2 linked regions of the Arabidopsis thaliana genome follow. The protein of the gene in region 1 interacts with the protein of each later gene in a biochemical or structural test. Each region holds a gene or a part of one and is shown on either strand. Other genes may lie near its edges.

Region 1 (4,569 bases):
TTCTCAGTGTTGTGTATGTATTGGAGCAGGTGCTATGGGTTGTAGTGATTCACAACCATCCACAAAGCTACCGTTGCCTACTTTTGGACTCGCATCTTATAAGCTGAAAGTATCTGTGTGGAACCAAAATAGAATTCAAGAGTCCCAAAAGATGACTTCTTTGCTACAAGCTGCAGATAAATGGCTCAAGCGTCTGCAAGTTGATCATCCAGACTACAGATTCTTCACCTCTAACAGTCCACAAATGAGGTGAAAATGAAAGATACATTCTTGACCATGGATTTGGCTCTGGTCTGATCAAAAGACCCATTATCTGCTGCTCTTACTTCACATATAAAGTCTCTCTTACACTGAAGAACCACCAAATAGTGGTTAGACTCTTGCGTGTTTTTCAGGCGATTTAAGAGTCTCTGCTGTTTCGTTTCCAGAAGATGCTTTGTGAATTGTAGCCTAATCTTCCTCTTTCTTCTTCTGAAACTTAGTCTTTTGATTTTCCCTGAATAAGGATTTGAGGAGCCCATATAGTGAAATTTGCGAGGAGTGTTTTTGTAATGTTGAGATGCAACACTTTTTGTGATACAATTTGATTGCTGAACTGATGAAACACAGGGTTGGCTTATAAGTTTTATACTGAAAAGTTTTAAGCGTTGGCTAATTTTACGAGTCCTGAGTAGAGTGAAATAGTACTTATATATCTTCTGATTATGCACATAAAAGATACCCCACGAACATCCGATTACAACATACTCAGCATGCCATTATGCTTGCTACAAGCCTCTGCTACATACATTGAGACTAATGTATGATTTCTTGATACATTGATTACAATATAAGATATCTAGATAAATTAGAACTTGTCTTCAAGCATGGTTGACCAAAGCAAGCCCCGCACAAACTTGCTCTTCTTTGCCTTCTCTTGATCTTCGTTTGAGAATGATTCTTGTTGTATTTTGCTGTAAAGGAATGATAAAAACAGGCACTGTGAGAAAACAAACGGAAGCGACACATTTTTTTGAGAATACAGTATGGAATTATACCTTTTAGAGGTGTCCTTAGGTGAGACTTGTGCTACCGAGTCTCCTTCAGTGATAGGTATAGCCGAAGGGGGTTTAAACATAAAGGATGAGAGTAGAGGATCAGAATCTATATTGGAAGAGGGAATGAAAGTGGAAGACCCTCCAAGAGACTGTAAGTTAGCTTCTCGAAGCTCTTTTTTAAGAGTAAGATAGGTAGAGCTATATCCACCTTTACGCAACCTTCTTCTTCGCTGCACGTAAAATCTCTCACGTCAAGGAATACACAAAATGACTCTTCAAACTCTACTAAAACCGTTAAAAGAGAATATCAAAGTTTCAAAAGGATATCTTAAATACGTTCCCGTGTTGCGTTGTTATATGGCCAACAATGTCCAATCCCACCTTCTTTGTGCAGACAGGACAAACCTAGTAACAAAGCAAAAACATACTGTTCTCACATCAAAGATAGCACATAAGAGAACCTAAATAACTTTCTAATCCAGAAGCACTGCGAGATTACAATGCTCACTTGACTAAGCTAAACACTGCGTAAAAAAGCAACCTTTTCCATTACAAGCAAGTTTCACGATTTGGAAATCAAACCTAAGTATAAACATAATCAATCTAAGAATAACATGTAAATGTAAAATGCGGATGATCATTTAAGCACTCTGTTCTCATATCAAAGATGACACATAAGAGACCCTAAATTACTGATTATATAATCTTCTACAAATGGTAATTACAATGCTCACTTGATTAAGCTAAACAATGGGTTAAAACTGAAAAGCAACTTTTTCTATTTCAGGAAAGCTTAGAGATTTGGAAATTTAAACCTAAATATAAAACCTAAGAATCATCATGAAACTCTTGAAATAAAAAAAACTCAATGAACATTACCCCATTCTTAGCTTCAACAGGATGATTCACATCAATATGACAACAAAGACCAACAATATCAAACTCATCTGCACAAAAAGGACACATAAACTCAGCTTTCAAATCGTCTTCTCCTTCAACATCTCCCAAATACAAATCTGCGTCAAAAAGTGTTAATCACCATCAATTCAGAACAAAGGATGAAACTTTACATAATCAATCTACCTCAAGCATTTTTTTAAACAAACCTGATCGAGATTGGTAACGGCGTGAAGAAGGCGATGATGAAAACACAGGGGGACAATTGATCCATGAATTCGAATCCATTTCTTCTTAAATTGTTAAAGATTAGGAATACAAAAGAACAGAGAATTTTAAAGGAGATGTTGAATCTAAATTAGCCAAACCCTAGAAGTAGAACGATGTGAGAGGTAGAGAGAGAGAGAGTGGAAACAAAGAGCTGTGACCAGAACTACTACTACTGGTTCGGAGTTTGTTTGAGTATTTACAGTCTTGACCAAACCGAAACTAGTGGTAGTTGTGTTTTGTACTGCGTTCATTATGTTTCACTTTCACACGTGTGACTTTTTCTGGCTCGTGTGCTTTTTGTTTTTTCCTTCCTTTTTCCATCTAATTTTTTGTATCCAAGTTTTGGTTTTAGTAGAAAAGTGGATAGCAAATGACATTGACATGAACCACTATTTTTTTAAAAATTCTGACAAAAAAAATATATTAGCAACCTTGGTTTTCTTGATGTTGGGGAAATATTTAAGCTTTTTAATTATGCTACTATTATTTTTGATAATGGTTAATCTACTACAAAATTTTTATGGAGAGGAATGTGTTTTTTTTATATAATTTTTTACAATATAAAATATTAAAATCAATTGATCGAGCATTGTATCTTTTCTTGATCGGACATACTATTATAAGCTTCGTGATTTGACGTGTTGAGTCCCAAGGTCTTTTGACTTTGACTTCGACCATATCTCATGTTAGAATCTTTGAAACTATACCCTAGAGCTCAAGACATATATCGAACGAAACTTCTGATCAAAAAAGTTTTCCGATTTTTCTTCTAAGATTGATTAAGGAAGTTTTATATGAACCGTATTTTTCCTACATTTCAAGAGCTTTTGATCAATATATAAGCAAGGAGAAGTGGGAGAACAGTACAAGGTTTAAAAGCAACTGAAAAGGAGAGTCACCTAAAGTGATAATTAAAAAAAGAAAGCAACTCATAAAAATTGTTAAACCGGTTGCTAACGACGATGTAGAAGGTTTTGGTTTACATAAGTTTTACATTAATATTGGTATTAAAAAAAAAAAAAGTTTTACATTAATATTTGAAAAGGAAGATATTGTTCAAGAGAATTTTATTTAAAAAATTAATAAGTAAGGCTCTCTAAGACTTTCTTTTTTTCATAAATTAAAGTATGATATTACCTTATAAGATTTTAATCCTAACAATGTTTCTTACAGTTATCATGGTTAACTTCACTTTTAATTTAGTCTTGTTATTTTTTTTAGAGCCAATATCATATGAGTTTTTATAAAGTAAATATATTATTTTAATACTAAAATTTATGCATGCAAATTTTGTAAAGTAAAAATACTTATGGTCACGCACAAAAAGATCCCCAATTTCCTTTTTTTTGTTAAGAACAAAAACAAACTGGTTTTTTTTTCTTAACAAGTATTTTGGTTTTTTATTCATAATTCGAACTGAAATTAACATAAATGTGATACTTCATCGTTCATTCATTTACTTATGATTTTTTAAAAACTGCAATTTGTTATAAAAATTAAAGGTTGTTGGAGTAATTAGTGAAGAATATCTCTATTAAAATTTTATAGAAGTAGTTTGATGCTTAATTCCAACTCTTTTTTTTTGTTGACATATTTCTCAAAACCATTTTTCTGTCATTTGTTTTCACAATTTTCAATAGCTATTTCCTTTTGTTATTGATTAAATATCTATTCATTTCGACCAATTTAGTTTCATCCGATCTCTTAAACTTTTGTTTCTGTTTGATTTTTCTCTTTATATATTTTCATATCACTAATGTTAACTTCGAAACTCCTTATGATAAATCCACTAAAATATTTTAAATAAAAATTCAAAAAAGAAAATACATGAAACAAAATTACAAATTTTGAATTTTTGAAATCAATAAGGAAAATTTGGATAGTAATTTAATTTTGACACAAGAGTCATTTCTCTATATAGCAATTTTATGTTTATGAGTGTTTTAAACTGACTGGTTGAGTTTTTATAGCAAAATGTTTAGTTTGTTATATTTGATAGTTAGACATACATTAATTAGTTGAGTTTTTACCTCACAATGTTTATAGTTTTTCTAAATTGTAAGAATCTTATTCCTTTTTTTTTTTTTACCTTTGTTTAGCTTTGGATCTAACTATATAAATTAAATAAATAAATAAAAGCTTAGAGGATCCATTTTAATTTTGAAAAACTCAAATTATGATCATGAAGAAGCTTTGCAAAAAGAGATGAAGATCGTGATAACGGTTTTATTAAAACGAATAGATGGTGGCGTGTTATCTTAGGAGAGGATTTTAATTGTTTTAACACATTATAGTTTTTAATTGTTACGATTTTAATTTTTCAAAATTCTAAATCTGTTAACAAGATGATGATTTTGGGGTCCAC
Region 2 (4,986 bases), 5.6 Mb from region 1:
GAAGTGCTAAACAATTACTGTTTAGAGACATATATGCACATGAAACTAGGAAAGAAAAAACATTGCGGTGAGTACATGTCAATGATTGTCGATGAACAAATTACAAAACAGTAAAAATCAACACCCACCCACATGGGTTCCGGTATAAGGGTCAAGTTTGGCGATAACACAAATTTTAGGGTTTGCAAAAATGTTGTAACCATAATCGGTGATGAAATATGGAAGATCATGTGAATATTTAGATGATGAAACTATTTGGCTGAAAAGACAGTTAACTTTAAGCTTTATTACTTGAGATGCCCCGTGACAGACAACGAATGACCTTGGAGAGAATCACACAGATGATGCTAGAGGTAGCTTTAATGTGTTATATTTGCGAATGAAGATGCTTCACGCTCCTGTCGAATTCTTCTCTCTTTAGAGAAAGAACAGACCATTATTAGTTTAGCCCACTCAAGAGAAAAAACCGAAAACAATTGCAATAAATGCTTCAAAGTGCAATAAGGAACCATAAGATAGTTAGCATCAACCTCCACTTCATACTGTCTTTTACAAGAAGACATACATTCATCTGAACAAATTGCTACCAAATTCGGCATTTAATAAGCTGTCTCGTTACTTAGGATTTTCATAACCACACAATTTTTTGTTGGATAAGATTCTAGTAATGTGTCAATATTTCAAAGGAAAACTATAATGCCGACAGACACATAACTTGATCCACAAACTTCCATTGGACTAATCTACTACTCGATTTATCATTCAGTTAAAAGCAATTCTATACAATGAAAGTTACTGCAAGTTTGACCTCTCAAGATTTAGGCTAACCTGACAAAACAGAGCAAAATCTTACAAGATTTAGGTTTAAATAAGACGTGTAGGAACCAAGAAACTAAGAACTACATGAGATTTAAGATGGTTCTTATTTCTTCATCTTCCATACATAACTTAAATGTGAATTCTACAAATGATTTTCTTCATCTCTTTTCTTTACATTTGATTCCATTTTATGTTTGCAAATAATGAGCAATCACAACAACTGTAAAAAACATCAATTCAAGATACTCCTTTTCAGCTTCGGTCAGCTATTTGGTTGTTCGTTATTGGTGTCCATTGCTGACTTATCCATCTCATCATCAGAATCAATGACATTTTCAAAGTCATAATATGGATGCGCCTGCACATTTAAAAACCGATGTCGCTATGTATGTGTATCAAAGAAGTAAAACAACTCGTTGGTTCATTATCAGCATCGTAAGTTAGTTACCTTTGGTCGCGGTTTAACAGCTTCGAAACTATGAAATTGAGGATCCGAGAAATCAGGCGCCTGCAAAATAATATATGCTCCTTTGTTTTTGTACCTCTCTTCTGTTGCCTACACCACACACAAAAATGATTGTTAACGCATATCTTTAGAAAATGCAAATACCAAAGGCGTAAAAATACATACTTGGAATTGCGGATAGTCAGGTGCACTGAAAATAGTGATAAGCTTTCCGGATTCGACATTGTGGTCTATTGTATATCCATTGTCCATTCCACCAAGACCAGTTCTCTTCTCTCTAGCATCTGGACCTTCATGTGATCTGATGATCAACTGCACCAATAAGTGTAAAACATTTGATCCAATCATCCATATCAGTATTTGGGAAGCAAACAAGCATCAATATCTACTTTGGTGTCACCTTCAGTTCATATTTCTTCAAAAAATCCTCTGTACAATCGGGACCCCAAAGAAGACCAATGCCTCTCTGTTCATTTGGTGAAAGGCCCGGAGTCATTGAAGGATCAGACCATAAAACGTCTCCTGGTATCAAGTTTGAACCTTCCCAAGGAGGATCAAGAACTGATCTTCGAGCTTGCATCAACTCATCTAAGGTACCGAGTTTCATTGAGCTCGGCTCAGGTTCCAGAAGAACTACCCGACGGTTCTTTTTCCCCCTTGTTGTTCGCTTAGGCAAGACTGGGCTGCGGAAAAGCCCTCCATGTGCTGTATAAACACGTCCAGAAATTATGGAAGCCAAAGGAAGACCTTCAAAGCAACCCAAACATTTCCGGTACACATGTTTTCCCTTGTCTCCGTATTTTGTAAGCACTTCCTTCTCGAAACCATACATAGATGTACAATACTTTGACTCATGATTACCACGGAGTAGGTAGACTCTGTCCGGCATCAAAACCTAAACAACCAAAAAGATATGTGCTTTAAGAATACTAAGACTTGAGCCAATAGTAAAACAGCTTAGTAAAGAGTTTACCTTCCAGGACAAGAGAACAAGGAAGGTTTCAAGTCCCCAAGCACCGCGATCCACATAGTCTCCGTTGAAAACATAACACCGGTTTTGACAAGGAAAGCCAGTATCTTTCAATAGGAAAAGAAGGTCATGAAGCTGACCATGAATGTCACCAACCACAACAACGTTGGATACAGAGTCAAGATCATCGATATGAACGCAGTTACGTTCTTTGTGGAGGATTTTATGAGCGGTGAGGACGAGGGAATCAAAGACGTTGACAGGCAATAGTGAAGGTAACTGGGAAGGAGGTAGATTCCATGAAGACCATTCGAAACACGACATAAGCCCATGTACCCAGTCGTTAGTGAGAGCTCCCCCATCTGGCCATGTAATGGGAGATGGTGGAACAGTTTCCATTAAAACTGTAAAAACACTAATCTATAATCAATTCCAGAGTATGAACATGTGAAACAAGAGTATCAAGCAATCGAAACATAGACAAAGTTTTCAAATTTCAGCGATCAAAGCCACCAGAACATAAAATCGAATCTGTATATATTCATTCGTACATCTTTAAACTCAAGAGAAGAGCAAAAAGTACAAAATCGAATCATGGGAAATCGAAATCCATATCACAAAGAATAATTCGGAACAGAGTGAGACTCACCGGCTAAGAGTGGAGACAATTTACAAAATTCCAAAGCTTGGATCTTGGACCTAGCTAAGCTAGCTTACTTTGCTTTCTCTCTGCTTTCAGTCCCGACACCGTCGTCGACGAGATTTAGGATCTGTCTGGCTTTGGATCCATTTACTCAAACGACGTCGGTTAACCAGCTAAAAGGATTCAAATCAAATTCATGATTCCAAACCGGCCGGTTTAATAAACGAACAAACCTTTTTTGTCGTGACGCTGCAATAGCGTTTTGCAATCACGCGCTATCGAAAACGCGAGTTCGAGATTTTGTTAAAGGTGGCCAACCGGTTTGTTCTGGTTTTGATATAAACTTGAACAAAATTGGGAGACCGAATTATACATTGGTCTATTCGGTTACTTATCGATTTCAGCTTGATTTTGTTTACGGTACTATCCAAGGAATTTTTGTTTGGTTTCGATTTTTTTATTTTTCAGTGTGGATGAAATCAAACCGACTAAAATCGGTTCGATATCGATTTTTACATTTTTTCGGTCCGGTTCATGCTTTTCCTCTATTTTGAGATATTTGTACTGAAAAGCAGAAAGAGAGAAGAAACACAAAAATTGGACTTTGGTTTGAAATTGGCGACATTTTTGGGAAATCTAGAGACTAATAATCAATTTCGTCAAAAGATCAAATCTTGCTAAATTTTCTTCTGCTCGTTTGATTTTCCGAATCGTTGGTTTCGATAAGTGAAGAAAAGATGGGGAATTTGTTCGTGAAGAAACCACAGATCACGGAGGTTGATCGAGCGATTCTCTCTCTCAAAACCCAAAGACGCAAGCTTGGTCAATATCAGCAGAAGGTTTTTTATTCTCTCTTCTTATATCTTAATTTTCTTTTGTTACAATTTCTTTTGGAACCCAGATCATATAGTTTTGATTCATCCAAAATCCTAATTGGAGATTGGATTTGATTCGTTTCACAATATGTGTCTTATGATTGTTAGTAGTGTGATGGAAAAGAAAGACTCAAGCTTTTGAGTTCTTTGGCTCATCTCTTTGTTAACCGATCTTCTCATTTTTTTTGCTAATTTAGCTTGAGAAAGTAATTGAAGCGGAAAAGCAAGCTGCAAGAGACTTAATCCGTGAAAAGCGAAAGGACAGAGCTTTGTTAGCATTGAGGAAGAAACGAACTCAAGAAGAGTTATTGAAGCAAGTGGATCAATGGGTCATCAATGTTGAACAACAAGTAAATCCTTCTCCTTGTGTGTATGTTTTGTATCCGGCATCGTCTCTTTTGATGCATAATTATGGCTTTCTCAAACTTTCATGTGAACTCGCAGTTAACAGATATTGAACTTACGAGCAAACAAAAGGCAGTGTTTGAGAGCTTAAAGCAGGGTAATAGTGCTATTAAGGCCATTCAAAGCGAATTGGACCTTGATGATGTTCAAAAACTAATGGATGATACTGCTGATGCTAAAGCTTATCAAGATGTGAGTCAAAATACTTTCGGGTTTCGTATCATTTGTTTATGATTCATTATTACGTTATCCGCTTTGTCAGAATGTAAATATCTTCTTATTTGATCACTGCTTTGTGTGGCACAGTTTGTTCTGAGCTCGTCTAGTGTGAAAACCTCTATAATCTTTTTTGTCGAGCTTTTGTGTTTGATGACTCTATTTACATTTCCGAATGTCAGGAGCTGAACGCTATATTGGGAGAGAAACTATCAGCAGAGGATGAGGAAGATATATTAGCAGAATTTGACAACCTAGAAAGTCAGGTATGGGTTTACAAAATAAATTTGTGTATTATTATCTTTACTAGATAAAGAGACTAATGTTGATGTGTGTTTTGCTTAAAGCTTATTGTTGATGAGATGCCTGAAGTGCCTACAAAGGAGTCTGAAGAATCTGAGAAGCTGGATCTTCCGGATGTGCCAACAAAAACTCCTGTCGCTTCCAATGCGGAAATCACACCAGCTGAGTCCGCCACAAAAACAAAAGGTTTTTCCTTTCGTCTTCTTCTTCTTTTCCTTGTTAGAATTGCAAGAACTAAACTCAAGACATGTTTTATTTGGTCTGTTACTTTCGTGTTGCAGTTCTCGAA

What was found.
Region 2: the proteins of HRB1 (region 1) and PP7 form a complex in vitro, tested with the Arabidopsis thaliana proteins (one study listed by BioGRID).

The regions. Positions count from the first base shown.
Region 1 is NC_003076.8:19,958,201-19,962,769, forward strand, and holds HRB1 (Drought-responsive family protein), read right to left. Parts: upstream 2,482-4,569; 5' UTR 2,223-2,481; coding exon 2,144-2,222; intron 2,054-2,143; coding exon 1,917-2,053; intron 1,443-1,916; coding exon 1,365-1,442; intron 1,274-1,364; coding exon 1,038-1,273; intron 954-1,037; coding exon 848-953; 3' UTR 672-847; downstream 1-671. Other genes in the region: AT5G49220 (hypothetical protein (DUF789)), read left to right, coding at 30-253. UniProt on the Arabidopsis thaliana protein: Involved in both red and blue light signaling.
Region 2 is NC_003076.8:25,560,255-25,565,240, forward strand, and holds PP7 (serine/threonine phosphatase 7), read right to left. Parts: upstream 3,063-4,986; 5' UTR 2,905-3,062; intron 2,671-2,904; exon of another isoform or gene 2,660-2,670; 5' UTR 2,655-2,659; coding exon 2,259-2,654; intron 2,181-2,258; coding exon 1,686-2,180; coding exon of another isoform or gene 1,671-1,685; exon of another isoform or gene 1,598-1,670; coding exon 1,451-1,597; intron 1,376-1,450; coding exon 1,268-1,375; intron 1,178-1,267; coding exon 1,082-1,177; 3' UTR 816-1,081; downstream 1-815. Other genes in the region: VPS20.1 (SNF7 family protein), read left to right, coding at 3,636-3,737, 3,971-4,123, 4,218-4,370, 4,505-4,660, 4,742-4,883, 4,979-4,986. UniProt on the Arabidopsis thaliana protein: Phosphatase active on para-nitrophenylphosphate (pNPP) and on various phosphoproteins such as myelin basic protein.